4 linked regions of the Oreochromis niloticus genome follow. The protein of the gene in region 3 interacts with the protein of the main gene of each other region in a biochemical or structural test. Links are inferred from orthologs where the notes say so. Each region holds a gene or a part of one and is shown on either strand. Other genes may lie near its edges.

Evidence for each region.
Region 1: the proteins of nxf1a (region 3) and alyref form a complex in vitro, tested with the Homo sapiens proteins (2 studies listed by BioGRID and IntAct). The link is inferred for Oreochromis niloticus from reciprocal best matches to the Homo sapiens genes NXF1 and ALYREF.
Region 2: the proteins of nxf1a (region 3) and nup153 form a complex in vitro, tested with the Homo sapiens proteins (2 studies listed by BioGRID and IntAct). The link is inferred for Oreochromis niloticus from reciprocal best matches to the Homo sapiens genes NXF1 and NUP153.
Region 4: the proteins of nxf1a (region 3) and rbm15 form a complex in vitro, tested with the Homo sapiens proteins (2 studies listed by BioGRID). The link is inferred for Oreochromis niloticus from reciprocal best matches to the Homo sapiens genes NXF1 and RBM15.

Annotation. Positions count from the first base shown.
Region 1 is NC_031969.2:13,796,469-13,804,468, reverse strand, and holds the start of alyref (THO complex subunit 4), read right to left. Parts: upstream 3,019-8,000; 5' UTR 2,876-3,018; coding exon 2,630-2,875; intron 1,218-2,629; coding exon 1,059-1,217; intron 967-1,058; coding exon 819-966; intron 723-818; coding exon 659-722; intron 574-658; coding exon 369-573; intron 274-368; coding exon 259-273; 3' UTR 1-258. Other genes in the region: mcrip1 (mapk-regulated corepressor-interacting protein 1), read right to left, coding at 7,383-7,447, 7,544-7,648. UniProt on the Homo sapiens protein: Functions as an mRNA export adapter; component of the transcription/export (TREX) complex which is thought to couple mRNA transcription, processing and nuclear export, and specifically associates with spliced mRNA and not with unspliced pre-mRNA.
Region 2 is NC_031985.2:21,180,150-21,188,068, forward strand, and holds the start of nup153 (nuclear pore complex protein Nup153), read left to right. Parts: upstream 1-4,916; 5' UTR 4,917-4,945; coding exon 4,946-5,074; intron 5,075-7,919. Other genes in the region: ptdss1b (phosphatidylserine synthase 1), read left to right, coding at 13-72, 1,205-1,283, 1,373-1,470. UniProt on the Homo sapiens protein: Component of the nuclear pore complex (NPC), a complex required for the trafficking across the nuclear envelope. Functions as a scaffolding element in the nuclear phase of the NPC essential for normal nucleocytoplasmic transport of proteins and mRNAs.
Region 3 is NC_031966.2:20,671,787-20,678,896, forward strand, and holds the start of nxf1a (nuclear RNA export factor 1), read right to left. Parts: upstream 3,013-7,110; 5' UTR 2,942-3,012; coding exon 2,875-2,941; intron 1,309-2,874; exon of another isoform or gene 1,294-1,308; coding exon of another isoform or gene 1,275-1,293; intron 519-1,274; exon of another isoform or gene 222-518; coding exon of another isoform or gene 194-221; intron 134-193; coding exon 74-133; intron 1-73. Other genes in the region: si:ch73-22a13.3 (inositol-trisphosphate 3-kinase A), read right to left, coding at 6,918-7,110.
Region 4 is NC_031984.2:21,081,494-21,088,824, forward strand, and holds the start of rbm15 (RNA-binding protein 15), read right to left. Parts: upstream 3,021-7,331; 5' UTR 2,842-3,020; coding exon 274-2,841; 3' UTR 1-273. Other genes in the region: alx3 (homeobox protein aristaless-like 3), read right to left, coding at 6,088-6,438, 6,589-6,714, 6,862-7,136. UniProt on the Homo sapiens protein: RNA-binding protein that acts as a key regulator of N6-methyladenosine (m6A) methylation of RNAs, thereby regulating different processes, such as hematopoietic cell homeostasis, alternative splicing of mRNAs and X chromosome inactivation mediated by Xist RNA.

The sequences.
Region 1 (8,000 bases), on a different chromosome or scaffold from region 3:
CAGAACCTACAGTCGAAACCATTTTTTCCATCAGAAAAGAAAACAAACAAACAAACAAACAAAAAAAAAAAAAAAAAAAAAATTATCACAAACAAAACTGGTAAAAAACACTTTGGAGCATTTAAAACAAGAGGTGGGGCAATATTTTCAATCACATTAGAAGACAACCAAGTGTAAAATATTCTGCACATTTGTAACAGCCACCCTTCTGTGCAGACAGGAAGGGACGACGACCCTCAGGAGCTCGTTTTTACGTTCTTAGCTGGTGTCCATCTGAGAAAACAAACCAAGAGTTAATTAGACATCTGAGAAAATGGACAATCTGTTACTCAGAAGAAATCATATTTACAAGTTTCAGGTAAACATACCCTGGCATTGTAGGCATCTAACTGGGCATCGAGCTCCTCTGCTGACAGCTGCTGCTTGCTACTACTACCACCACCACGGCCGCCTCGTCCACGTCCTCTAGGGCCACCTGCACCACGCCCTCCACGGCCTCTCTGCATGCCTCCAAAGCCGCCACCACCACGACTTCTGTTCATCATGCCTCCTCCGCCGCCGCCTCTGTTCAGACTGAAGATAAAGGAGCCTTTACACATCAAGTCATCAATACATTTGCTGCCCCCCCCTCCCAAACAAAAAAGAAATATCAACCTACCCCTGCATTGGCCGTCTCTGTGTGTCGATCTGTGATGTGACGAGCTGAATGTTCATAGGGCGCCCTAAAAACACAAACACCATGAACCTCAAAATCTTTACAGAAGCAGCAAACTTTAAGAAACTGTTTGCACTGGCAGGTCAAAGAACGTAAGACTTACCATCCAGTGGGATGCCATTGTATTGCTTCATGGCCTTGAGCGCATCTGCCCTCCTTTCAAAGTGGACATCTGCAGTTCCCAAGCTTCTTCCTGATCGGTCGTAATGAACTGCAGCCTTTTTCAGAGTTCCAAACTCAGCAAAAAGTTCCTAACAAACACACGTCCAAAACAATTGGTCCTCTTGATCCACACTGTTAAACACACCAACCCAGGCCAAGAATCACAAACAACTTAAAATACCTGAATATCTGCATCTGAGACCCCAAAGTCGAGATTGGACACGAGGAGCTTCCCTCCAGTTTCCACGCCAGCTCCTCCTCCACCTCCAGCAGCACCATTGAAGCCGCTGAAGCCGTTGTCGAACATGTCGTGCTGCCACTTATCTGGAAGCTGTTTAGGCTGCAACAGACGAAAGAGAACGCACCTGCTGACTTCAGGATCCCCTTGCCCTCTGTCATTCACAGAGTCCACACGGCTGGGTGTTGGGGCAAGCAGGGGCTCCACTTCCAACATGGTCAGGGTGCTCAGGTCCCCCAAGAGGATCCCCACTATTCCCTGCCCACCCCATCACTACAAGCAAGTGAATCACTTCGGACAGATAAGGACATACACAAGACAACTTAATATATATATAAAAAAAATTAAAAGGCAAGGGGATGTCTTGTATACAACCTGTACATGCATACATTTTGGATACATTTTTTTTTTTTTTAAAGTACATGTCTTTTCAATGACCAAGTTCAAATAGAGCCAACTGATTTTATTATATCCCACTCCCACCCATAACCTCTACATTAAAACCCAAACAACCTCCCATGCTAGCTACAAAAATTGCCCACTGTTTTCTTGCCAGCTGCACCTCCACCAGAGGCCCTCCAGATATGATCCTCAGGGACACAGGGGGTCGCCATCTGAAGCAGCGTTGCCTCCAGCGTTGCACCATGTTTTCCAGGCCCGCCCAAGAGTTCTTTACCAAGCCACGAAAAGGGCTTTCATGAAGGGGGAAATGTCCATAACACGAGAGTGGGGATGGGGATGTAAACAAACCGAAAGGGGGCCCAGCTATCCCCCCATCAATGAGCGTGGATTATCTGAGCGTCCATTTTGAGACACGCCATTTTGACTGGGGCTTTGTTTAGATATTCATTCACACTTAAGGAGTGATGATTTGCCTTAACATGAAAATTATCAGAGAGGAGGTTTAAAGTCCACTGATCCATCCAAAAAGCAACAGCCACACCGGTTGAATAGCCACCAAAATGGGCCTTGCTGAGAAGAGCGTCAGCCACTCCCGAACAAAAGGCCGTCTGGTCGCTGCGCTGGGACTTGACCAAAAAAAAAAAAAAAAAGAAGAATTTTGCTCCCACGATAGTAGCGTGCGGGTAGAATTTCTCGTTGATGCGATTTCCTTTCACCATCAATTTCACTCAAGAGGTGGAAAAGCACCGATATGGACCTTGGACGACTAGCTCTAAATTAAGGTGCTTGATTCAAAATGGCGCCGCTTCGGCCTTTACGATCCAACTTTAGCTAGTTAGCCAACACGGCTAACACAACTGCTCTCTCCAAAAAGGGCTCCTCTTGAAAAAGGATGCAACACATATGGATTGTGGGAGAAGGGACACAATATGCATACAACTTCCATTAATGCATAGCCGCCAATTATAGAGCTCTCCTCCGAAGGGAAAACTCGGCGGTTAGCAATCATTTTATTCGCTTGACTAGCAAGCTGGCTAGGGGATTAGCTACAGAACGACGTTAACCAGGCATTTTCAGCTTTGTCGAAGGCTTTTCCTTTAACTTTCTCATACCCTGCTGTAAGGCGTTGGTCTGCCTCTAGCGCGTTTCGGGATCTGTCGGTTCCTCATCGGGCCGGATCCGCCGCCTCGGCCTCCAAATCCTCCACCGCTGACTCCGAGACGCCCGGGGCCTCCTCCTCCACGGCCGCCGCCACCTGCGCCTCCGCGGCCTCGACCTCTGCCGCCCCGGCCTCCACCTCTCTGCTGCCTGTTCTGCTTGATAATGTCGTCTAGAGACATATCCATTTTATCGGTCATTATGCTGCCCCAATAATGCTAAACTGTTAATGAAATAGTTAAAAAAAAAAGTACAGCCCTAGACTTCAATGGTCCCGCTCCCTGCCCTTTCCTCTCTCCCCGACGACAAAACACAATGAGCAGACGGTTGCTGAAAAACAGTTTCGTTGCGTATCATACGTAGACAAACGTCAATGCGTAGTAACATCTTTCTGTCCAATCAGATGTTGGTACAAAGTTACCAACAGGGAATTGCTATTGTTTTGCTCCATAGATGAGTATCGGTAAGCAATCAACAGTATCGTCCGAAACAATGAAGCAATCAACAGTATCGTCCGAAACAATGAATCTACAATACAATGAATCTACAATTATTTAAATAATCTAAATATTAAATAAATATTAAATAAAATAAATTTACAGTTTCACTGTAAATTTCATTAGTTTGAGTTGTAGTTGAAAGTCTTCATTACACAAACTACTACAGCTATGTGTGTATAAAATAACTGAAATAAAAGAAAACAAAAAAGAAAGAAAATGTAACACTGTAAGTCAGTTTGAACAAATATGTACATATTTGTGGTCATAACCGATCGTCATGGTAATTTTTTTGACTTTTAATGATTTCTGTGAACTAACGTTTTCCAGTGTGGAATGATTGTAAAGCACAGGCTAAACTATAGACATACACCCCACAATTGTCCAAACTGCACCTAAGCCAGACACTGCCTGCTGACAGTTACATTGCACAAAGTGTTTGGAATAACGAAGAAGTAGGACCACTTCCAAATCACCTCACTTCACCTAAAGTCAGTGGCTAAGTGGTTGAAACCTGGACACATTTGGTGTTTCAACAGGAAGATGATCCCAAACATACATCAAAACTGGTTTTGGAATGGATAAACATAAAATCCAACTGTATGGATGACAATCTTTAACACGGTGCTTTGAATAAAAGCACCATTTTCAACATTGCTTTTTTTAAAGCTTAGTAAACAGCTATTTTACCCCCTGGATCAATTTCATAATTTTTCCACATTTAGAAATAGAAAATGCATTGAGTCATATAGTATCCAATTTTCAGGCGTTGATAGTGTGATAACAGCTGCAGCTACACAGAGCTGTGCAGGTTGAGATTACCGCACTGACAACTAGGTTTGGATATTTTAACAATGCCTGCATTCATCCAGTCCAATTCAATAAATTATTTAAGACCCTTTTACCCTTGGCTTAGTTATCCCTTGCTGGCACACTCTGTCAGTTCAGACACAGTTATCTATCACCTATCCATCGATATTTTTAACCACATATCCAGTTCAAGGTCGAGCAGAGCTGAAAGTGGGCAAGGGGTGGGGTACACCATGCACAGGGTAACGTGGAAACACAAATAACCATTTACACCTTTTTAACTACAGCCAGTTTAGAATCACCATTTGATGTTTGGAGATTTGAAGCACTCAGCTAAGTTAAACTAATCAGCAAGATAGAATTATCTACTCCACTAAATTAAACAAACAGCTTCTTGATGAATGGGGAAACCTTTCCACAGACACACTCCGGTATTTAGTAGAAAGCCTTCCCAGAATGTGGAAGCTGCGAAATGGATCAGTATATAATGAGATTTGTTAAAAAAGCTCCTATAGGTGTAATATAAATGATAATGGACTGGTTCTTATATTCAGGGGTGCACATAAGGTGCGCATTCGCTGTCAAAATAAAGGACGCGCACCAGATAAGAAGTTGAAACGCGCGTTTGCGTACATATAAAAGGCACTGTTTTTGTCCGCTAGAGTGGGATTTTCACGGCATATTCTGCACCACATCTCTGTGCGTTCATCATTTGTTTGAAGCCAGCTCACCTCCTGCAACCACTTTTCCAAGAATACGCGCTTCTTTTGCGGTTTGGACTCCTTCTGACATTTCTTTGGAGGTGGAGGAACGCCAAAGTAATTGCTTAAAGGAGCTTGCTTCTTCGACATCTTTAAGAGTTCTAAATAAATGTCTGTCCTCCTCCAGAAAATCATATGTACGCAAACGCACGTTGCAACTTCTTATCTGGTGCGTGTCTTTTATTTTGACAGCACATGCACCCCTGCTTATATAGTGCTTTTCTACGCTAATTGAGCCTACTTGAGCACAACATCTCTCATTCACCCATTCATACAAGGATTTATTTCTATGCTTTATCTAACTCCTACGTGCTTTCTATCAAACACTGACACACGTTTGCACTTCGATAGATGTATCAAGCCACCAATCTTCTGATCCACCTCCTGAGCTACGGCCACCCCAGTACTATTCTACATATACACTATAATCCTTGTCTGTCTTAACACACATGTGAACTTGAGTGACAGCCCAATTTTAATTCAGAGGGTTTAATATGATGTTGGCCCACACTTCAACTCTTCTGGGAAGACTTTCCACACAATTTAGGGGTGTTTATGGGAGTTTTGGACCATTCTTCCCAAGCGCAAATTGTCAGGTCAGACACTAATGTTGGATGAGAAGTCTTGTCTTGCAGTATCTAATTCATGTCAAAGATATTCTGTTGGGTTGAGGGCAGGACTCTGTGCAGGCTAGTCAAGTTCTTGCTCATCCATGTCTTTATAGATCTTGCTTTGTGGTCATGTTGAAACAGGAAGGGGCCATCCACCAAACTGTTGCCCAAAATGTCTTGGTATGCTGAAACAACAATTTTTTCACTGGAACTAAGGGGCCGAACCCAGCTACTAAAAATCAGCAACACACCTTAATTCCCCCTCTACCAAACTTTACATCTGGCAAAATACAGTCAGAAAAGTATTGGTGTCCTGGCAACTTCCAAACCCATTCTTGCCTATCGGATTTCCAGACAGTAAAGCGTGGTTCATCACCCCAGAGAACACGTCTCGACTGCTCTAGAGTCCAGTGGTGGCGAGCTTTGCACGACTGAATCCAACACTCTGCACTTGGTGATGTAAGGTCTGGATGCAGCTGTTTCCATGGAAACCCATTCCATGTAGCTCTCTGTACACTGTCCTTCTAATCTGAATGAGGTCTGTAGTTGTTGACTTCTGTGCGTTATGTTCCTCAGCATCTGCTAACCCCACTCTGTAATTTTACATGTGCTACCACTTTGTGGCTGAGTTGCTGTTGTTCCCAGTCGTCTCCACTTTTTTATAATACCACTAAAAGTTGACTATTTAGTAGTGGCAAAATTTCACGAGTGGATTTGTTGCACAGGTTGCATCCCATCACTGTACCACTCAGCTCCTTAGAGTAACTCATTCTTTCACAAACGTTTGTAGAAGCAGTCTGTAAGCCTTGGTGCTTGACTTTATATACCTGTGGCCATGGAAGTGATTGGAACACCTGAATTCCAGTGATCTGGAAGGTTGAGTGAATACATTTGTCATTATAGTGTATATATTGTTTAAGTCTGCCTTAAAAAGGAGGTTCTGAGAAATATCAGTCCTCTAAAATGGTCATATATGTATGATTTGATAGTAAGATCACCCAACAAGGTCAAGCCTGGTTGTCTTTACCCTTGGAGTATCATCTGCTCCGCCCTACATGTTGACTGTGCGTCAAGTGCCTTGCAAAGGGATACATCTAAATTGCTGACTTTTTAAATATTGCATCTGACAAATAACAAAATACTATAATAATTAAAAAGAAAAACAATTAAAACAATACCGATACTGGTGAAAACAAAAGCTAACCGAACATTTTTGAACTTCAACTCTGGAAACTAGCTGAAAATAAACTGGATCAAAAACTAATTACAACTCATGGCCAATACAAAACTAGAATTCTAATGTGATAAAAATACAGTGATGTATTTATGTAGAATAAGTACAACTACAAGTAATGTAAAAGTCTTTTTATTCAACATTTTGTTTCAAGGCTTTGGGAAAGAAGAGGGGAATGGGAGGGGATTTATCAATACTTGGGGAGGCCCTCTACTTAATAAAGTCCGACCAAGGGCAAGAAAATGTATAATAAAAATGTTGGCTTTGTTTACACTCTGTTTTGGCTTTGAAAACTCGCCCATAAAGTGTGTGTGTGTGAATGTTCAATTACTTCTACACTTGCTTAATTAATGATAAACAAAATAAAACTACAAATAAGAAGTCAGCCCTTTCATATTTTCCTCCCATGTCATATTAGTAGTAGTAGTAGCGTCGCGTTTAAGACTGAAGTCTTTTGCGTCCTGTGGAGACAAAAAAAAAGCTGAGGTACAAAGTCGGCAAATTTTGGATGAATCTTTGCATCGGTCCCGTCCACATATCGAATGCGACTGGAAAAAACAGGAACTGAGAGAAGAGGGAAGAAATCCAACTTTTTCTTTTTAGTCAGTCTTCGAGGGTGAAGGAAGAGAAGCTTTGCTATGGTCCAGAGTTTAGAAATTAGATTTGCATTCTGTATTAGACTGACCAACAACGATAACTTTCTGGCTGACAAGAGGGCTGACGGAGGAAAAGTTCTCGAGGATAATGTATGGGAGAAAGAAAAAAAAAAAGCAATGGGATAATTAAGAGAAAGACTAGGACTTCTTGGAGTCTTGTGTGTTGCGTTTTTTGAGGTCACTCAGGTCCACTGGTGTGAAAGCTGCAAGAACAAAAGGAAACGAGTAGTTAATCAGCACGTCCTTTACCGATTTCATCTTTTAGTGTGATGGAAAAATAAACATTTGCTGGAACTTACAATGTAGATTAGGATTTGGGTTCTTCTCGACATACTCCTGTGGTCCACGGTCATTCCGGTCACTATTTTGCGTTGATCTTATGTCTCTGAGCACGCACTGCCAAGCTGCGAAATAAGCAAAAACAAAGAAGTTTTACTTAACGATGCACCTGAGCCATGTGCTGGCATTTTCTAACTTGCAAAGCGTTATTTCCAGACCTTTTAAAGTGCTTCAGTGTCAGAGCGTGGAAAATGAATTTTTGCTATCTTAAACCAAGTGCTTTTAACAATGTTTTGGAAGTAATCACTGAATTTAAATTGTGGTCAGTGGTCACTAACAAAGCATGAGCTACATTCCTGCTGTCCTACTATTTTATTTTACTCCTGCACGGTTGGCGTGGAGCACCCATAATTTTGATGTACATGAACAATGATAATAAAGGGCTTTCCTGTTCTATTCTATACAAGCCTTTTCTCA
Region 2 (7,919 bases), on a different chromosome or scaffold from region 3:
TTTTTCTTCCAGGCACTCATCACGCTCCTGTGCTTATATGGGATGGTGTGGTATGAGCAAAAGAAAGTGAAGGTAAGACAGTGCCCTGGGCTGCTTGCTTACTTAAATGTTTCTAGAGGTTTTGGTTTGCTTGTGATAGTAGAAACTTCCATCTGTGGAATAGAACAGAGGGATGTACTACAAAGAAAGCTTAAGAGGTAAAACCTAAAATCCCAGTCACACACAGCAGGTGTCACAGTGGTGGTTATCAACCTTTCTGTTAAGCCGGGCTTTCTGCTTCAAGGTTATGTGCACATTTACATAAAAAGGGCCGTTTAATGCTTCACATGACGCTTCTTCTGCACAAATTGATCTCTTTGAGTGCCAGCTACTCCAGTCAGAGATGTTTTCTGATGATGATGATGATGATGATGATGATGATGATGATGATTAAACAGTATATATAAATGACAAAAACATATAACTGGAAAATGCAACGGTGCAGCAGATAACACCAAGTTAAATAGCCATAAAATTTGACTCTCATCAATACATCAAGTTTATTTTAATACTGAGTGAATCTCAGTGCTGCTGTGTAAGCATCAGAACCCAATATAAAAACATTTATATTCATGTTTTTTCCTACATCACCAACTGAACACATGCAAATCCCAGTAAAAATGCACTGTTTCGACTTTTTAGCTGCACATTCGGTGGTGTTAGTAAGATACGGCTTAACAAGCTGCACATATTAGATGTATTTACCCAGCAAAGGATCTTTATCACATGGAAAACATGATGTTTAAAAAAAAGAAGAAAAAAGAATCACTGAAAAGCACTTCCTGATGATCTTAAATTAAAACCCTGCTCCTGACCATGCTATGTGTGCAGCATGAGTTACCATGGTGATTTAGCCAAAACAGAGTCACTTTCTTGACACAGAAAACTTTGACGTTAACCTCGACATAGCTCACTGTGCCATTAATCTCACTTCACGGTGCACCCCTCTGGCGTTAGCATCAATGTCAACAGTTAACTGTTTCTAAGTGCCCTGTGTGTAAGCATGGCACAGCACCACCATTAGAATATGACGGTGAGCACGGATGCAGAAAACCAGGACTCTGAAACCGTCTGTACATTTTGAACCAAGCCACAGCAGTGTTTTGAGTGAGCGAGTTGTACAGACTGTTTGTGTTTGTGACTCTGATTTTCTTTCTGTTGGCAGAGAAATTCTCTGCAAAGGCACAACTGCAATGACAGGAGTGTTATTGACTCATGTGGTTTCATCACAGATGGTGCTGCAGGTCAGTCTCATAACATGCAGATTGATGACAATATTTCACTAAACTCCATCTCAAATGTTTATTATATCTCATGTCTCTTTGCTCCACAGCTCAGGAATATTCCCCAAGAACTGTGCAGACTGCAAAACGGAGGAGAGCTGCAGGCAGGAACAGATTTGTGAATGGTCAAGGAGGAAAGAGACAATAAACAGCAACTGATACTGAATCTTTGTGACCTCTGTGGAGGGGGATGAGGAAATGATGCGTTTACCAAGAGGAATACAGTATGCACTTTGTGGATGGATTTAATTAATATTGTAAGTTGCATCATTGGTGCAATTAATCGCCAAAAAATAGATTCCAGAAATCATATCGGTGTCACTTGATAAACCGTTTGAACTTCTAAAGGTGTGGGAGGCCAGAACACGACAGCAAAGTTTGATTGAGTTTCTTTTCTATTAAATGTCAAAGATGTTTCTAAACAAACTTAAATAATGAGGTAATATGCGCTGGAGTTTGAGAGAAAATGGTGCCTTATTTGGACTGTAACAGCAGTCTGTGTCATTCCACAACCAATATTGTCTTTTTAACACTGGAATAATGTTGTCAAGTGAGGGGTGTACCAACCAGTCCACACCCACCATCCTGTACAACACACATGTAGACTATTTGCACTAAACCTTTTTGACTGGTGTGTTTTTTATTTACTGACCTTAATAGCTTTAAGAGAAACTAAAGATGTCGAATACTGTTGGGTTTAAGAGTTGTAGATGGTTTGATTCTGTGATGATTTGATGATGATGATTAATGTTGTCGGTTTAATATTTTTATGGTTATATGATGCTGGTGCATTTACTGTCTGTAAGTTTCTTCAATCAAAACAGCATCAGCAGGAAATAAAGTCTTTGTCTATTTTTTAAACGAGTGTAAGAATTACTTAACCAGCTGTTGCTTTATTAAAGTTTTTCAGATGTGTGACTTTGACGATGTCTGTGGAGTGATGCTGTGTATGAATGTGTGGCGTACCCAACACAGAACTGTGACATTCAATGTAATTGCACTGCGGTGACATTCAGTGGCTCAATATTTGTGTAAAAAGATCTTTTTTAATGCAATTTTTATGATCCAGATTAATTAAATGTGACATTAATAATACAACATGTGAATACTCTAAATAAGCTGTTAAATGTGTAGAATAATCTTTCATTTAGTGTTAGTTTTAATTTCAGCACTAACTTTCTTCACTGATTATTTTAATGTATTGAGTTTAAAGTGCAGACAACACAGCAAACTGTGCATGACGTGTTACTACCCATGTATGATTTGAATGGCTGAACTGTTTTTGTACACATAATTAAAACAAAGATTAAATAAATATAGTCTTTTTTTCATGGTTTTTCATTTCATTGTTCTCTGTGGCCTCATATGTCTGAAGCAACAAAAAAACAACAACAAGAGGACAACAAACATTAATTTTACAATTCAATTCAATTCAATTCAATCTTTATTGGCAGACTTCATGTCCATAAAAACAAGACAGAAACACACACACATATATATCTATATGTAGATAAATAAGTATATAAAACATTAGTAAAAAATATAAAGCATTTGTAAAAATTTGTAAAAATATAAAACCATAATATACATAAAACACAATTACTTAAAATAAATCAATAAATACACAAACACTTTAACCAGTGCTTTCTCAGACTGGATGAGTAACGGGAACCACTCAGTGTCGGATCTGTAAGTGCTAAAATTATACTGTTACTCGAACCATCCAGTCGTTCTCTAAAATTGTACATTAACTTTCTTAAAAGTGCTTTAAAAGTCCAAACACCCACAGCTACAAACATCTTTGTCTATTACAGTTCTTTTGTTGACATTTTAAAGGAACAATTTCCCCAGGTACTTGAAATATCTGTGGCTTTCTACAACACATTTTGTGAGTGCAAAGCTATATTCAACTGCCATTTTATTACTTGCATGTTTCTAGTATCGGGTTGCCTTCAGAGCTGCTTTAACCTTTTGTTGCATAGATTCTTCCTGCTCTAAGCTGACATGAGCAGCACCTGGTGTGCTTTTCTGCTTTAAAACTTGGTGTGTTGCATTCAGAGATGTTCTTCTACATGCATGTTGCCTTTTAAGTGACTCATTGAACTCTTGGCATTATCCTCTGACCTCTGACATCATGAACCAGAGAACGGCCACTTAGAAGAAAATCTCCCAGTAGATCAGCGGCTTCTGAAATATTCATACTTTTTTGGCATCAATAACCATGTCATGTTCAAGGTCACTTAGATCACCTTTCTTCTCTGATGCCCATTTTTTCTTGACATTGTCTTCATATTTACATGCCTCAGGGTACTGAGTTTCTGCCATGTGTTTGGCTGATTAAATATTTGAAGCAGCTGAACAGGTGTACCTAATATAACTGTCAATGAGTGTAAAAAGCAAAGGATTGGTTGTATATCTGATTTGCTCTTAATGTGTAGAAAGGTATAATTTATACACCACATTATACAAGTTACACAGGAATGCTTAGTTCACCTTTCAAGTCACCTTTTCATTTAGTTCTGCCAGCTACCACAGTGAAATCCAACATATCGTTGTTATGAAGAATCAAAATGGGTCAAATTGTTTGTGAGATGAAATATGGTGATGTAGCAGCTACCATTTATCTGAATTACTATTGAATTGTTCTTTAATGTATTTTTTTTATTACTTAAGTTAACTGTTGATGTTTCATCAGGAAGGGTGTCTGTCATAAAATATTTGCCAAATAAAACCACAGGGAGAGGCAAGGCTGAGATGGTTTGGGCATGTAGAGGAGGGATACTGGATACCAAGGATGGTGAATATGGAGCTGCCAGGAAGCAGGAAAAGAGGAAGCTCACAGAGAAGATTCATGGATGTAATGAAGATGTGTTGTTGATACATTCCTGCATACCTTGGTATGTGATTCTGAAAAGGACCACAGTACAGTTATTACTTTTAATGCATATAAGCCTATATTTTTACAATTTTGCACTATTATTTAGTTGGGATTATTACTTTTATTTGAGTAAAAGGTCTAAAAATAATAATTTCCATTTTGTTAAACACTTCTTCAAACCAAAATATTCTTGAAACCTTTGTGTTGAATTAAACTCTTTGTTTACTGTATTTATTTATGATCAAACATTCATAAGGTGAGCTCCCCGCTACTATGAAATTTTACTTCCACCATTTGCCAGGCAGATCTGAGTCAAAATCTAAAGCCCTTATCTCAAAATGTCTCAAAATCTCAGAGACATGTAACTTGAAATTATTTGGAATTCTTAAGTCAATATTTGGAATTACAGACAACAGAAAATATTTTTCTTTTTTCAGTGGCAGAAAGAAGCTTCCATATCTCTCCCCCATGCCACATCATTTATAAAAACTACTGAAAATGCCTAGACAAAAGGAAAAAAATTATTTTTTCCCCTTACAAATATATGTTATTGAGATTTAACCGTATACTTGTGATTTTTGTAAATGTAAATGTACAAATGTCCTTATAATTACTCTTATTACCTTTATAATAATAATTATCCTCATGATGCCATACAGTACGCTTGACCTGTCGAGTTTACCTCCTTTGTTAGGTTATGCAACTACATTTCCCATAGTTCCTTTGAGAGTGGCCACTGTGTTGGATGACAGCTATCCGGCGCCGAAACACCGAAAGACACTCAGACGAAAGAGCCATGGCGGCCACGGGTGGAGGGAAAATTAGAAGCAGGAGATATCATATTGCCTCTAAACCTTACGCCAAGAGTAAACAGGTAAACAGAATGAACAATTTCAGTTTAAAGCCCGTTTCGAGGACCGTACAGTGACTGTAATGCTTGTATTCTTGAGGTCTTGTTATTGTTTAGTTGGAGACATTTTGTGGCCTGCAGTTAGCGCTCGTGGCCTCCACGCGCTGCTAGCATGCACAGGAAATGCTAACGGCTAAAGGCTAGCTAACTAGCTCATAGGTTAGCAAAAGCAGGCGGGCTTGACAGTCAAATCGCAACACGGTGTGTCGTTTACATTAGGTAACGAGTGTTGATTAAGTGCTCATTCACATGCGACAAGTTGAGATGGCCAACATTTGCTGAAGTCGTGAGTTTTTAACTGTTAACAAAGTTCGTGGAAAGCGAGGAAGTAGGATTCTAGCCATTAGCCGATGGAGCTAGTGCTAGTGGACGCTAGCATCGGCGAACGGCGCATTGTTGTCCTCGGTTCTTAAGTTTTGAGGCGTCATACTGTTGCAGGTAGACGTGGCAAGATGGTTTGGTTCTAAGTAACAACTGTCTCGGGGTACACATAACTGTTTTACATTTTAAGGTTGTGTTGGGGGGCTGGGTGGAAACCTTTTAAGTGCTAGGCACCGTTAGCCAAATCAAAGCCAGCTGAACTGCGCAGAGAGCATTGGCTGCTTGGAAACCCACATGGTTACCTTAGTGGGTATATTTGCCGCCTGGACAGCGGTACTGTTGGCTTTAAAACCAACCTGTGATCTTAATGGTGGCTAAGACTTGTCCTGATAGTCGAAAATCTTGTGTACTTTTTTTGTTATCAGTTAAAGAAAAAACTCCAGTGAACTACAAGTGTATTCTCTATCTGGAGTGCAAATCAACTGGAAATCTTTCTTTCTTTTCTTTTGAGAAATATACAATCGACTTTCCTTGACGATCGTCGTTAATAGTCGTAGTCGCACAAACAATCATCAGCACCAGCATTCATAAATGTTGTCACATTTATGAATTTCAAGTAAGACAGGATTTTGGATAGATATTATTTATGCTTGCCATCAAGATATATTGATTATACAAACAAAATACTACACATTTTTTAATTCGACTCTTCTGGGTTTCATGGTTTTTGTTTTCCTCCCATGTTTGATGCTCTGGATCAGGTAATATCACAAATCAAGTATAATCAACATGTTTCTATCGAGCATTATAATTGATTGCATTCGTACGACTATGTTTGACTCTTTACAAGTTGTGGCAGTGATTTATTAAGCTGCTAACTGACCAGAATCCAATTCAGGGTCACAAGGGTAGAGAGCTGGAGCCCATCCCAACTCTCATAGAACGACAGGTAGGGTACTCCCTGGGCAGGTCGCCAAACTGTTGCAGGACTAATGCATATACACAGAAAAACATTCACACTTCTACCTAAAAGCACCAGTTAACCGACAACAGAAAAAGAAGACTCATGTAATTTTCCAAGCTCTGCTGTTGTCGTTCCAGTGTCATGTTACAGCTCTTAACAGCATATATCACATAATCAGCAACCCAGATTTTGCATAATTCAGCATTGATCCCATGGCAATGTACCCTTTTGACTTCGCACATAGTGTTAAAATAGAAATGGCATTCATGGTAACAATGAAGACAAGTACATGAAACTGTAGCATGAAACACAAAAAGAAGTTGAATAGTTTTTCACCTCTGTAACATGTGAGTCAAGGTTAAGTCTTTTTAAATTGTGCATAGATTCAATAGCACATGATGCAGAAGTGTTTGAACTTTCACATTTAAGTAAAGGCTCACTCACCCACAAACAACAATTACCCAAATCTTATTTACAGTTTAAAAGATAGGTTTAATTTTTCATCATCAGTTTTGTTTACACAACACTTTGTTGAGAAAGCAGAAGGAGCTTGGTAAGACATGCAGTGTTTGTGCTGTTTCTGTCTTGATTCACTTCTAGGATTGCAGTTCTTCAAAACAGTCGGGCTGGCTTCACTTTTCTTTTTTTAAAAATAAGAGCACCAATTTAATTAGATATTATTCACTTAAAAAATAAACACAAAAGCTTCTCAAGGTTGATGTGCAGTTCATACAACACTCTTGGGTCTTAGCTATGCTACTGTGTCTACAGTAGAAATTCTGATGGATAGCTTTTATGATTTTTTTTTTTTTTTTAAAAGCAACACTATGGTGGTGGTTATACTTATTTTTCACATTTTATACACATGTAAATACACTAGTGTATTTGCACACAGGGTAAAGTACAGGGTGCCCCACAGGTGTGTGGCATAGATAAGGAGGAAGGAAGGAGCATATATAGCTTATCAAGTGTTGAAAGTCACTGCGGGGTATATGGTGTCTCCAAGAGATGCACTTGCAAGCTGGTGCTTTTCCTCAGAGCTTCCTTTTCTAACTTCTCTTATCACAAACAGCATTGGTGTCTTAATATGAAGACACCCAAGTACAACAATAACACTGGACTTTAAATTAAATAAATATTTTCAATAAATGTCTTCTTGCATCAAAAGACCACCAATTTAGAATCCACTTAGTCACTTATCACATCACCTGTTCAGAAAGCTTAAATCTGAAGAACACTAATCTTTTCACCTGCTGTTTCAGGTTACACACTGAAAATGAGGCTGCTAGGCTGAGTTTTTTTTTGTTTTTGTTTTAAAGAACAAACCAAAAGTAAAATGGTCTGTATGCTGAAAGTCTGTTTGCCACATAGCTTCAACTTTGGCAGGTTCTTGTTAAACTTAGCTACAGGCTGAGAGATTGGTCAGTCCTCTCTCTGGAACTGTTTTCACATTTGGTGTCTGGTCAGGATGCTTTCTGAAGTTTCCTTTTCTCACATTTTGCAGTCAGTATGAAACAGTTCATA
Region 3 (7,110 bases):
CGTGGTACTGGGTAAACATGTGTCCAAAAGGTCACAAAATGACACCTCCGAGATGCCTTCGACATATTTTTACCTCCGTGAACCATGAAATCGGTTCTTCTGACCTCTCTCCTCACGACAAAGTCTCTAAGATCTGTGGAAAGATCGTTAAAAGTGCAGTAAGTTTAAAGCTGCAATGAACGTGGCTTCTTACCATTGTAGTAATGACCGCCGTCCGCCATATTTCTCCAATAGTGTTGGATAACAATCACAGCCCAGAGTGAAACAAAAAACAACAATGCTACTAGTGGTGGTTATTTTCCTTGTTTCACGGCACTCAAAGCCAAGGCTGTCGGAGAAACTCCAACATCCCGGGTGGACCAGCGGAAACAAAGGTGACCGCGACGTGACTGTCGCCTTGTATCTAGCAGCTTAGCTTAGCTTCCCCTGCCGAGCCCAAACGAGAAGACGAAGCCGGAAACACAACTGGGTTCTCTTCCGGGGCAAGAAAAGGGAGCGGACAGCTGAAACAAACTACGGTGGGATTATGGTCGAGTAAAAAACAAAAAAAACATGCAATGTACAAATCAGGCTTTGCTAGCGTTAGCTTCGACCTAGTTTTGCGTATATGAGCAAAAATTATAGCGCGAAGCTTGATGTAGGATATCCGACCATTTAAATCATATTACAGCCAATCATAAACACACGAACCTCTTTAAAAGGCTCACCAACTTCTGTATTTCCACAAAGATGGGGGATAAAACACAGACAGCTGTCTTTTAAGTTAGCCAACGGGCCGATCTGTTGTTGTTTTTTTCAAAGCTGCGCCAGTATGCAAATGTATTTAAAACAAATCTACAGCGGTATCAAAGGGTATATAAAATGGGGTTATCTTATTTAGCAAGCTAAACGTTAGTGAAAAGTACCAAATTTAACTTAACGCCCACACTTATACACACTGTTTCTTGTTTATTATGAGCAGGTGCAATTGTAGCGAAACAAACCTCACCTGAGATTACCCCTGAGTTAACACTGTTCAGAGAAGCTGTGTGTATGTTTGTTTTTTTTTCCTGTAGGTGCATTTTTGATGTACTGGATAAGGAAAGCTACTGGAATTCTTCCATATCTCACACATTAACACTACATGCCTCCCATCATGTTAACATATTATTTACCACCTGTACTGTGTCATTGAGCCACTTTAATGTCGTCTTATAATACTATGCAAAAGTCGTGAAGCAGCCCTGATCTTTATATTTTCCTAGGAAAAATAGGAAGTCAGCATTTGGTCTTACCGCACTTATTCTTAAACATAGCCCGATCCCAATAGTAATTTCTTTAAGTGGTCCTCGGGAATAGTTCTTCAGCCTTCTTGAATAATATTCAAAGCTCTTTGTTTGATGTTGGCTGTCTTTTGTTCTGTTCTCTGTCAAGATGATCACTGCTTCAATAATTCCGCGCTAAGCACTCTGGGGAGGCCAGTCCATGATTGATAGTGTTCCACTGTGTTTTTTTATATGCTGGATCTCACTCCTGACCACCTCTGTACAAGTGGATGATTATTTGAACCAAACATTTCATATTTGGATTCATCACTCAATAAGCCATGTTGCCACTGATTTCCACTCCAGTTCTTTTGTAATTTGGCACACCTCAGCCTTTTCTGTATTATGTGTTTTTGGACAGGCTGCTGATAACAAAATGATGGATTCTTTGCAAAGTTGTCTGTTATGAGCAGAGGAAACACTGACTCATCCCTTGAGTTTTGGTTTGTTTTTATACTTGAATGAATCATTGGTCAGTGTTAAATGGCTCAACACACAAAAAAATCTGAAAATGGTCAGGTACAAGGATTGGACTGAAAATGAGTGAGAAAGTAGCCAATGTTGAAAGAAAATTTTAATGAGGCTTTTAGAAGTCCTAGTGAAATATTGTTTAAGACCAAAATATATATTTAAAAAAACATCAAAATGAAGGCTAAATAAATTAGGGGTGGCTCAAGACTTTTACACAGCTCTATACATTTGCTGTCTGTCATCTCGGTTGTGGGCAAAAGACTTGCAACGGACAAATAAAGGCTATCTCATCTCATCTTCCTACATTTATTAAATAGTTATTAATTCTATTTATTTTACTTTTTTGAATTTGGAATAATTATTTTTGTATGATATACTTATTTTGCTCATTTTTTCAACTTATTTTTTGTCTAATTATAATATTTTTGTCATAACATATTACTTTTCAGTAGGCCTACTACTGTAATTATTGTTACAGTATTTTATTAATTATTATAATTTCTGTTGCTTCTAACTTTTAGCTGGTCTAACAGTGTTTAACATAATTTTTAAAGATAAACTGGATCTTATCTTACTGACAGGCATTTTGGATATTTTTCCAACAGACAGCAGGCACCACAAACATCCACTAAAACATGGCCTTCATGAAGGGCAGATTTACTAAAGAGATGGTTACTTTTGTCTTCATGATGAACTCGAAACTAAACGTATATTAACTCGTGATGTATGTATATTACAATACAAGGTAAAATAAGACTCAAATGATCTTATAACTAAAATCTTCTATTGATTTCTAAGACTTCTTAATCTATCTCTTCTAAAAACTATATTCGTTAAATTTGAAAATAATACTTTCAACATCATGTAACACCAAGACCTTTGATAAAAACAGACTCACATTCATTTAGATGTGTCATTTCCTAAACCTACAGAAGTTTTTATTCTAATTTCAGCGCTGCACAAATCATATCTCAGTATGTTGTTTTGACCAGCTGTCAGTAATCCTCTAAATAACTGGAAAGTTCCCGTGACATGTGCACAAAAGACTGACTTGTAAAAAGTAAGAAAAAAAAAAACCCAGTTGATATTAATGACTCACTTCTATTGTTTGTGCCACTGAACACCAAGCATAAAACCAGGACCTCCCATAAGTGGAATGCAGCCATTATCGGTACTCATTATCTATTAATATCTACAGCGACAGGGCAAATGATCTGCTGTGAGAAATGCCTGTGACAGAGCACTTTCAAGGCAGGAAGGTGCAGCTGGAAGCAATAACAATAATGAGGTCCCAATAAGCCCTGACAGTGAACCAGCACGATTTCTTAATACTACCAGAAATGTCACAGAATGTCATAACAAGCTCTTAATATTTTAATTTTTGGAATTGTCCGGAGTTGCTTACTTTTTATTTATTTTTGTACAAACAGTGCACTTTAATATAGCCTATCAGGATTAAAAAAGGAGTATAATTTGACACTATTTCACTCAAAGGAACTTTAGGATAGGCTCAGCTGTACAATCTGTGTTTTATCACAAATCGTGACCATCCAGGTGGTTCTTTTGCCTAAGTAACCAAACTGCAACTGAATATATATTTAATTAATATAAAAAATATATGCATTAAAAATATTAGCCTGAAGGCTTCCGTTAGCATCACACCAACTAAATTCTCTGACCAGGTAAACAATAGCTACAGCTTCCTCCTCGGTAGCACGCTTATTTATTTTTAAATATTCAACGTTCAGGCAATATCTTTCACAATGTCTGTTTAAAACACGAGGCATAGGCAGGTGTAAGCGATTAGACGGTAATGTAAACCCAGGCTAAACGAAGCCGAGAGAATAATGGGAGTCAGACTTACCATCATTCACCACATGTGTCACCACGGCCAGGTTGGGGTAGCTCCTCTGAAACATGACCACTTAGTCCTCTCAAGACCACTTAATCTCCCAGTAAAACTTACTTTCTCCTTGAAAAACTCCTTTTCACAACAGCACCAGATTCTTTGTCAGCCTTCTTGAGCGAAATTTGAAGTTTTTTCTTTTTGGGCAACTTTGTGAGCAGAAGCTAAGGCTAGCTTGCAGCTAGCAGCTACCGTTCACGTTGGCTGCGTATCCTGCCAGGCCAAGTTTCAATATTTACCACTAATTTTTTTTTTTTTTTACCACCTTATTGCTTTTTTCCATAAAAGTACAGAAAACCTGTCGTTTTAGCTCCTGTCAGTCGGTCTCTCCCGCTCACTTTTCTCCTGATCCTCCAACAACACGGCGCCACCTGGCGAAACGAAGCGTCTGACTACTGCAGCCTGAACGCTTAAACTGCCACAATATTAGCATACAAAAAATATATTTAGGCATATGTAAGATTTTGTACTTTTTTATGGCATTTTTAAAAATAGATATTTGGCTTAAATAGTTTTAATATTAACAAAGTAATTAACTTAATTTAATTCAGGCATCTATTTGTCAATCATACACAAATTATTATTAGGTTGTTAAACAATAACAAAAGGGGAAAAAATTAATTTTTCTGCTGTATTTCCTGTTGTTAACTAAAAAAAAAAAATCCAAATTTAGTCATTGTCCTTTTTAACAATAGTCAGTGATAACAGCTCCAAGACATTATTGCAAACTTCTGCATCTTAATTTGTGGTCTCTCTTTTAGAATTGTCACATTTTAATAAGCCAAATGTGTTTTCAATAGATGAGATGGAGCCTTTAATTACTAAAGCTATAAATTTTCATCTTGACAGTCTACAACCACTAAAATGCTAATTATGATGTCTTAATGTTAGTGTAATATTGTCTCTTGGGCTAGATATTCCTATTTTTCTAAACTTTCGAACACAAAAATGTACTTGAATTTAGCTGATATAGATATTAAAGTGCATAAATCTGTTGAAACCCTAACCCTTGCTCTGAGTCTTAACACTTTGCTTTTGGAGAAAAGAAAAACAGGAATTTAAAAAGTAAAGATAGTCTGATTACTTTGTTATCCTCTGACGGACAGTATCAGTGAGAAACAAAAACATATTGTGATAGCCGAGGGTTCGGATCACCGATGATGTGTTAGACCTCACAGGGTTAAGAATTGTAATTGTTTTACTGCTTACTTTTCAGTTATTTATTATTTGACTTACTTTAAATTAAACACTCAGCATTATTTTAACAATACTTCAGATTTGCACAAATCATATCATTCAGTCTTCTTCTTTCGGCTGCTCCCTTTAGGGATTGCTGCATCTCACTCAACCTTTGCGTCCTCATCTTTCACACCACCCTCCTACATTAATATTTTCCTCCAATTTTTTTCTGCTAACCCTCCTCTGCACATGTCCAAATCATGTCAGCCCTGCCTCTATAACTTTGTCTCTCTGATGTTCTCATTTCTAATCCTGTCCACCCTTCAGCTCTGCCACCTCCAGCTGCACCTCCTGTATTTTTGTCAGCGCCAGTGTCTCACTCCCATCTTGTAAACCTTCCTTTTCACTCTCACTGTTCTCTTTCTGTCACAAATCAGCCCTGACACTCATCTCCACCCACTCCACTCTGCCTGGACTCTCTCCTCTCTTGTGCCCCATCTGTTGCTTTGGATGGTTGACCCGAGATATTTAAACATCCACCTTCACCGCCTCTGTTCCTTGCAGCTTCACTTTTACACCTGTTTTCACCTCTCCAAGCTCTCTTCGGCCTGCCTCCTTCTCTCACTTCAGATCATAATGTGTAAGAGGTCAGGCAGGAGTCTCTGTGGACTCCTGCCTGACCTCATCAGTTCACCTGCCCATCACCACATCAAACAAGAAGGGACTCCGAGCCAATCCCTCCCCCACCTTAAACTCATCCGTCACTTCAGTTGAACACTTCACCACTGCCTCATGCAGTGTAATACATATATATGCTTTTTGGCTGCACTAATCCATCTCACTGAAATATTTTATTCAACCTGCTTTTTGCAATGATCGAATGGATTTGACTGCCCTGAGATTTCAGCGGTTAAACTCTCACTGCTATTTAGCATTTTATGTATTTATTTACTTTTTTGCATATCATTGTCTTTCTATTTGGACTTGGATGTCTGCAACTCATTGGCCTGTATTTGTATAGCGCTTTACTAGTCCCTAAGGACCCCAAAGCGCTTTACACAACCAGTCATCCACCCATTCACACACTGGTGATGGCAAGCTACATTGTAGCCACAGCTGCCCTAGGGCGCACTGACAGAGGCGAGGCTGCCGGACACTGGCGCCACCGGGCCCTCTGACCACCACCAGCAGGCCACGGGTGAAGTGTCTTGCCCAAGGACACAACAACCGAGACTGTCCAATCCAGGGCTCGAACCAGCAACCTTCCGATTACAAGGCGAACTCCCAACTCTTGAGCCAGGATCGCCCTGCATTTTATGTAAAATGATGATAATAGTGACACGGATATATAAAAACTCAACAAAAAGAAGCATTCTTATTTTAATTTTTATATATGTGAGGTTATTTATAGCCTATAAAACTGTGAAAAACATTTCAGCTGCATCATGTGTAAGTAATCTAAATACAAACAGTAGAATAATACAATACAAACATTGTGGCTGTGTTTTCTTCATCAGTATAGCTTAATCTGTACTTAACCCATGTTTTTTACACATACTGTCTTAAAAAAAGATAGAGCACGAGGCTGTTCAGCCTATGTGCGCATAATGAGATACCTTAAATGAGCTTATGTTGCAACAAAGGCGAGCTGTTTTAGTTTATGCAGACCAACCAAATTAAAACAAACAAGACAGAAGCATTTGTAAACAGATCTCCAGCAGAGTCATTCCCAACCCATGCCTCAGGTACGCCCCTGATCTGTAGATCAGATCAGATGTTCCTTGGATTGTCCGTCTTTTGCGAATGAGAAAACAAAAAGTTCTTTGTAACACAGTAGCTTTAACTGTCAGAGTATGTACATACCGGATGCACAACCACATATCTATGGATTTTTGGTACACTGAAGTCCCTTGTTCCTCTTCCTTAGCCCCTGAAGACACAATCTCCATTAACAAATCAAGTCTCTTCCAGCGAATGAAACCATTCCAAGTGTAACACCAGTCGATTCGTCCATCTCATCCACTTACAATTGTGTAACGACTGTCAAAAATGCACATTCACGGGCTTATTTGCTCCTCCTCACAGCTCTCCTCCTGCTGCCATGAGGCCACGCTGATGGCCTGGGCTAAAGATGTGACGAGAGAGGACAGACCGATGAGGTAGCCATCCTCCCTGCTACCTTCAGACCACGGGACGTTGTGTCGGAGCTCCCGCGAGTCAGGCAGAGGCGTCGTCTTTCCGAAGTCTATC
Region 4 (7,331 bases), on a different chromosome or scaffold from region 3:
AAACTTTAACCGCTTTACAGAATTTTGGCTAAATGACTGCAGATTTATAATTGTGACTGACACCTCTGAACAGTAACTTCAGAAACACACATACTTTTAGCTTTGCAGGGGGGCACTGTTTGTCCTTTAAGTGGCTTACATGGTAACATAACACTCAATAACCATACTAGTGTACTCCATGATGCAGAACACACAGCATGCAATAGTTACTGACATACAGCAGATTTTTTTTTTTTTTTTTTATTCCATTTGAATTTAGTGTAGTTTGTTTCTTTAAGATGCTCCGCGGACCACAATCATGACTAGATAGTCCTCTTCACTTTTTGCCAGAGCTTTGGCAGAGGAATCCAGGAACTGCTGGGAGAAATCACAGGGAGGGAAAGCATGAAGAACCCCTGTGTTGTCTTTATCTCTGCTTCCTCCCACAGGCAGGCTGATGACTCCAGCTGCTTGTTTTTGGTTGAGGTAGGACACCAGGTTGCGAAGCGGCCGCTGAGTTGAAGCTGCAGGGTCGGATGAAGATGTATCCTCTGTGGTGCCGGGGACCGCCAACAGGATTGCGTAGCCGCCCGGACCTGCCACCTTGATGCGCCGAGACACCTCGTCGAGCTTGGGCTGGTCCAGCCGGAGTCGCTGCGTGATCTTTAGCTCGCTCACTCGCCTTCCTGTAGCGCTGTCGACAAGCAGGTCGCTGGCGACGTTGTGGTCTCCCTCCAGCAGGTGCATGTTGGCTGGAAAGTTGCTGTTCTTCAACAATAGCATACCATGCCACGCCAAACTGAGTTTGTTGCCATCCGGCTTGGATGGCTGGCCTCCCTTTGAGCTGCTCTCAGAACGTTCTCTCTTGGCTGGTCCTTTGCCACCATCGATTGCCTTGCGCTTGCGCTCTCCAACTGCTGAAATAATGTTGCTTGAAAGTCCCTTATCAGACAGACTCTGGCTTTTGGGCCTTCGGTCTGACACACCTCTTTCAAGGCTGTTGTGGCGTTCTCTCGCAGGAGAGGCTCTCTCGCCCCGCAGGGGGCGTTCTGAGTCACTAAAGCGCCCTCCATCTCTGCTGCTGCCTCCAGGACTGCCATCTGGAGAAGCACGTCTGCGTCTTACTGTCCTCTCAGTGCTATCAGGGGAGTGGTCTATGTGGCGTCCGTCCTCCAATATGCGCCGCTTTCGCGCAGGCTCTCGCCCCTGCAGCTCTCTTTCCAAAGACCAGGGCTCACGAGTTCGCCTCTCACGGTCCAAATGCTCCAGAGGCTCAAAAGGTGAGGCACGTACCCGCTCACGAATAGCAGGATTGGGCCAGTCAGTTCCAGGAAACAGCTCTCTCTCCCTGAAGTGAAGCGGCGGTGGAGTTCGTTCCCTGACCCTCAGTGGCTCAGGTGTGGCACGGTGGACAAATGACTCAGCCACCATGTCAAATGGTGGTATTGGGAGAGGCTGCAGGAACTGCTGCTGGTAACGATGCTCAGTGTCTGCAAAGTCCACTCTAAGTCTTCTCTCTGGGCCTCCCAGTGGGAAGCCTCTCATGTGTGTGCATGCTGCTTGTGCAGCATCTAAACTTTCATACTGAATATAGGCCCAAGTGTCCCCTTTTCTGTAGTCAATGGTCCTTATAGTGCCAAAGCGATCAAATTCTCTTGCCAAGGCAGCTAAGGGAACCCACGGTCCAAGACCACCCACCCACAGGCGCGTGGTCGGTGTTGCTTTCCCATAGCCTATCTTTATGGGATTGCGGCCCACTATTTTACCAGACATGCTAAGCTTAGCACGATGAGCCATGTCAAGATTCTCAAATTTCAGAAATCCATACGTGCTGGTTTGCCCCCGTGTTGGTCTCTTAATGTCCACTTCTGTTATGACTCCAAACCTGTCAAAAGCCCTCCTGAGGTCTGCTTCTGCAACAGTTATATCCAGATTGCCTAAAAACAACGTCCTATTAGCTCTTTGGTCGTCTTCTGGGGAAATAAAATCCTCTTCCCGGAAAGCTGCCCGTTCTGCAATGAAGGCTGGGCGTGCTCTGGCTTCAAACAGAGCGAACTCCCTATCCCGCTCCAGTTCTCTCGGCAAAGGTGGTGGTGGGGGTGGAGGAAGCCGTCCCAAGGCTAGCTGCTGCAGCCGGTAGTCTCTATATCCCAGCCCGGTGGGCGAGAGGGGTCGCTGCAAATGTCTGTGGCTTTGAGCTGCACCGTACAAGTCTCTCTCCACCGGAGACCGACTTCGCCTCCGGTTGATGTAGACCGCCTCGATTTTCAGCGGCCGGTCGTACAGCACCAGCCGTCCCCTGGCGTGCTTAGCCGCTCTGGCGTCCTCCGGCTTCCTAAAATTTACGAAGGCTATCCGCTCGTCGTTGCTACGACTTATCTTGACGCTCACATCCCCAAATTTTTTAAATTCGTGAAAGAGTCCGTCCTCGATGTCCTCGTCGCTAAGCTGAGTGCCGAGGTCGCTGATTTTGAGCGTTTTGTACTCACTCTCTGTGCTGGGCGGCTGCAGCCGCGGCTCACCCCGGGAGGTGGTCCTCGGTGAGGCTAAATCCAGCGTCAGGCTCAGGTTGTGGTTTTTGCCCACGGAGCTCGCTGCAGCGGCGGCGGCAGCTGCAGACTGACAACTGTGATTATTTCCAGTCCGGCTGTGACCGTCGAAATCTCGGTCTCTTTTTTCCCCGAGGAGACTCCGTCTTGTCGAGCCGCCGTCGCTTTTGGACGAACTGTTTCCATTATTACTCCCACTGGAAACGGACAGAGCCCCCATTTTCTTGCTGGTCGGATGGCATCCTCCCCTGTCTCGAATATCGTCCAGGGCCCGGGAGCGTTTTTTAATCGGCGACCGCTCTTTACCTTTCATTTCGGCCCACTCGGTGTCAACCGTCGGGACACTTGCTCTTCCTTGGTGCGATATTTTCTGCAACTTAATGCAGAAATTTACTGAAGTGAAAAACGGGTTTATTCACTGACCCTGCGGCAAAACAACAACAGTCGCCATTTTGTAAAGATTAGCTCGAAGACCCACCCCTTCATTCTGATTGGTTAGAAAGTGGGTGGGAAACTTTAAAGCGCATGTCAATCACCCAGCGGCAGGCACTATAATTTTATATTTTCTTAATAAATTAAATTGAGTATAAAATAACAAATAAATAAATAAGTTATCGAAATTGTTTGTGTTTGTTTAAATATAAACGTAAATATTACTTTATTTGTATTTTGCATTCCTTTGAAATTTCAGAAAAGCTTTTACCTTATTAAGACACTTGCATTGTCATATTATTTTTTATTCTGTTGAGCTGTATGCTATTCTACTTATTTAAATAAAAGTTAAATAAAAGTGGCCTATTTGTTAGGTCTAAATGGCTGCACCTTAAGGCTTAAGATAAATCTTATTCCTTATATCACAACGCCAGTTTCTGCTGTCCATCCACTGTTAACTGTAGTATAATACCGTAGGCAGGTTTCTTAAGAATATTATTCATTTCGTTTTTCCCGGGAGGTGAGATGACTTAATTGCGGTGTGGAGGCGAACAGATAATCCTCTTATCTTCAATTAGAGCCAATACCACAAGATGGCAGTATTGAACAGAAAGTGCAGCAGCCCACTCCCCTTGGCATTGAGTGGAAAGGGCCTTTCCTGGCAACTATATGAACAAATCAAGCTGCTGATATTGACTAATGTCTGCTACAGTGTAGGCCACATGTAGCAGTAGCTATTACAGCCTTTTAAAGATATAAGTTCAAAGCATCACACTACAACCTACTAATGTTTGCTCTTTAATGTGTCACAGTAGTTCGCCATTTTTTACAAGTCGTGCTTTGGCTCAAATCGAGCACTGCTGTTTGCACTTCTGCACAAGCATTTTATATTCTGAATATTTGATTTTCTCGGATGAACTGCCAAAACATTTTTCCTAGTGATAAAATTTTGGAAGCAGCCTTGACAAACTGCTGAAACTGAGCCAATCACACAGTGCACTACTTTGTTTACCTTAGTGGGATATGTTAAATAAAAGTAGCCTATCTGTTGTGTCTCAATAGCTGCACCTTGAAGCCAAGATAAATCTTGTTGAGATCAAAGCTCAGAGCAGTGGCCAGCAGTCAGCTTTACCGATTTTAATGAGCCTTAAATCATATTTTTTAGTCCAGTAATGAGGCCGAGGGTGTACTAGCTTCCAGGCTCTTGTGACAGTCTACAGCTAGCAACCCTGACATACTGAGTGATGATTAGCTCTAGCATTGTGCAGCAATGACTCATCATTTTTCATTTCTTTCTGAAAAAATCATAGAGGCTCTTTGGATCCTGATACATTGATTCAACACAGATCAAAGCCAATGCAACAGCATGATAACTTTAATGAGAGCTTGATGAAAACCTATGGCCCCCTATAGTGAAATGACATCACTGTACGTTCACTCTGAGACATTTTTGAAGTAGAATAAGCCAAACTATGATCATGAGCCCCTGAGTTAATCTATTACAGCTGTTCTGACTGTTTTAAGGAATTAAAATATCAAAATCAGTAAACCACCGAGCTTCCTCTTTTGTTTACGAGTGGATTTGATTAACCTGCTCACACTGTAAAAATAAATATCAAAATTAAGCTCTGATCCGCCATCTGCTATTTCTCCAGCTTTCCTAAACACGGCAATCTCCTCAATCCCTTATCCCTTCTGACAGGTCTTCTTATCTTCTCCTCTTAATCTGGGAATTAATCAGGGGGACTATGTGACTGCAGTGAGAGCTGCCGTCTCCCAGGGACTGGCTGGAATTTGAAGCTGTGGGTGTGGAAAGTGTTTCTGATGGCTTTCTGCATTCTTCTATTGGAACCACATGTTAGTGGCTCTCAGGAAACTCCGGCACAGACTTAGGGAAAGGCAGCTAATCCGCCCCTGCATCGCCGTCAAGGCGAAGCAGGCAAAGACAAAGGGGAGCCAATATATTCCCCTGAAAGCCATGCACACTCCCGGGGAGTGAGTTCAGCTTGGCGGGGCTTTGTCCCGCAGTGAAACTCTTTTTCTCAATTCACATTCAGTTCTCAGTCTCACAGATTGAAATGTTTGCCAGTTTGACATGAATGCACTGGCATTTAGTAATTCACACCATATGGGATGTACCGTGCAATTCAGTGTTTCCTTGACAATAACATAAATTGTTTGGGGAGATTTTTCTGAAAACAATTATTAGCACGGCATTCAGGATAATGTGAGTATATCTCTGTTACATTCTGCTTGTACACATGGATGCAGAAGAAACTTGACCTTGACCTGGCCTCAGCATACAAAATATGCTCTGAGCCACAGTAATCGATTAAACACCTCACATTGTAGGACATGCATGACAAATACATAATCATCTGTGGTTATCTACTTTATTATCAGTAGTGAAGTGTGGTCACCAGGTTAGTTTTTCCATTATGAACCTGCCACTTTCCCCTGATGCATGGAGTGTAAGTTGAAGTGAAGCCTAGCGGGCTGCACATTCACTCTGTACACTTTCCGCACAGCAGAAACCTTTTTTTTTATGGGATCCACAGCCTGTAAAGTATTTTTACCTCATAACCACATTCCCAGTTATATTTGCATTGCAAACGTGGCTATCGTTTTGCAAAAGAGTCAAGGCTAAAATAATTATAACTGAGATGGTTTTTGTTCATTTTGAAAAAAGAAAAAACAAAGAAAAAGAAAATCCCTCTTCTCCAAAATAGTTTGCTGCTGAATAAGACAGTTAAATTTACATGGAGCCCTTTATTACTCACGCACAACACAACAGACATTAAAAGGGATTAATATGATACATTTTTTACATGCTTAAATAATTTTCCTCTTTGGTCTCAGCACTGTGATGCAAAATAAGAACTCTAAACAAGAACGTTCGTATTAATAGGTTGGGTTTCGTGCAAGATTCTTAAGTTGCCCTTATTGTTTGCAAAATGCCTGTTCCAACATTTCTGAATAGCAACACGTCTCCAAGTTGATTTATATAAATGTTTGGAGGAAATATTCGAGTCAAATCCACAAATGTACATCTGGGATCGTGTATGGGTGACGACTGTAATATGCTGCGGCTCAGTCAGTGCATAATGGGGAGCTGGCGTTATTATGGTCATGTTGGCCAGGAGAGGATGCTGCCTGGTTCTTTGGCTTTCATCCTCAGTGCCACCAGGCCTGTTGGCTTGTATTCGGTCTCGGGGCCCTCGATGGAAGGTGACCCGAGGCCTCCTGGGAAGCCGTGGAGAGAATAGAGACTGTTGATGCCTGGATGGTGAGGCGGGTGATGGTGATGGTGCGGGTGGCTGGAGGATGTGGGCATGCCCATGAAGCCCTGCAGATTACTGTGGGGGTGAGGGTACGGACTCATGCAGGATGAGGGGATAGAGTCAGCCCCTAGGACACAGCCTGCACCTGAACCACCGCCTCCTCCTGAAGCTGCCCCCGGCCACAGATTGCCCTGCATCTGGATACGGAGAAATTTAGAACAATATCAGCAAAAGTTTTAATATTGTTCAGTCCTGTAACGTGAAAAAAATGCAATTTCTCAGCAAGTTCTATAATGTTAAGTTTACTACTACAACATGCATGCCATGTGAGAGCTACATTGGCCTACCTGGTATGCGTCATGGCGAGGAAGAAGAGAAATGTCATATGTAGCAGCAAAGTGGTTGCGAACCTCCTGGATCTTCCCATAGCGTTCTCGTTTCCTCCATTTGGCTCTGCGATTTTGGAACCAAACCTTTTAAAAAATAAAATATATTATAACACAAAAAAGTATAACAGTAAATTTCCAGAAGACAATTTTTTGTTTGGGCTTTATACTTTCTTCTGATTACATTTAGAAAATAAAAAAGGTGTCAACTGTGATGGAGTTGCCCTGGCATACCTGAACCCGAGCCTCAGTGAGCTCCGTCCGCAGCGCCAGCTGCTCCCGGGCGTACACGTCGGGGTAGTGTGTCTTTTGAAACACTTTCTCCAGCTCCTCAAGCTGAAATGTGCTGAAGGTCGTGCGATTACGTCGCTTCTTGTTTTTGCCAGATAAGTCAATGGAGTCAGCGATAGAATCTCCTTGTAAACCACTGCCTGGCTCTTTGAGCTTGCCACAACAGTCTGTGCCAATCCCAGGATAGCCCATGGTTTTCGGAGTGCCTTTGTCCCGAACTGAAGCAAGGCAGGAAAATGCAAAGGAAAAGTTACACATCCACCAAAATAAATATACAATCGTATACAAATTCTAACAGTTTTTTCTAAGTCAATCTGCGTCAATATACACTGTAATTTAATCATTTGAGACTATCATTGCCTGAAGATACAGCTTAAATTTATTTTTATGGAATGCTAAATTTGATTTCGATT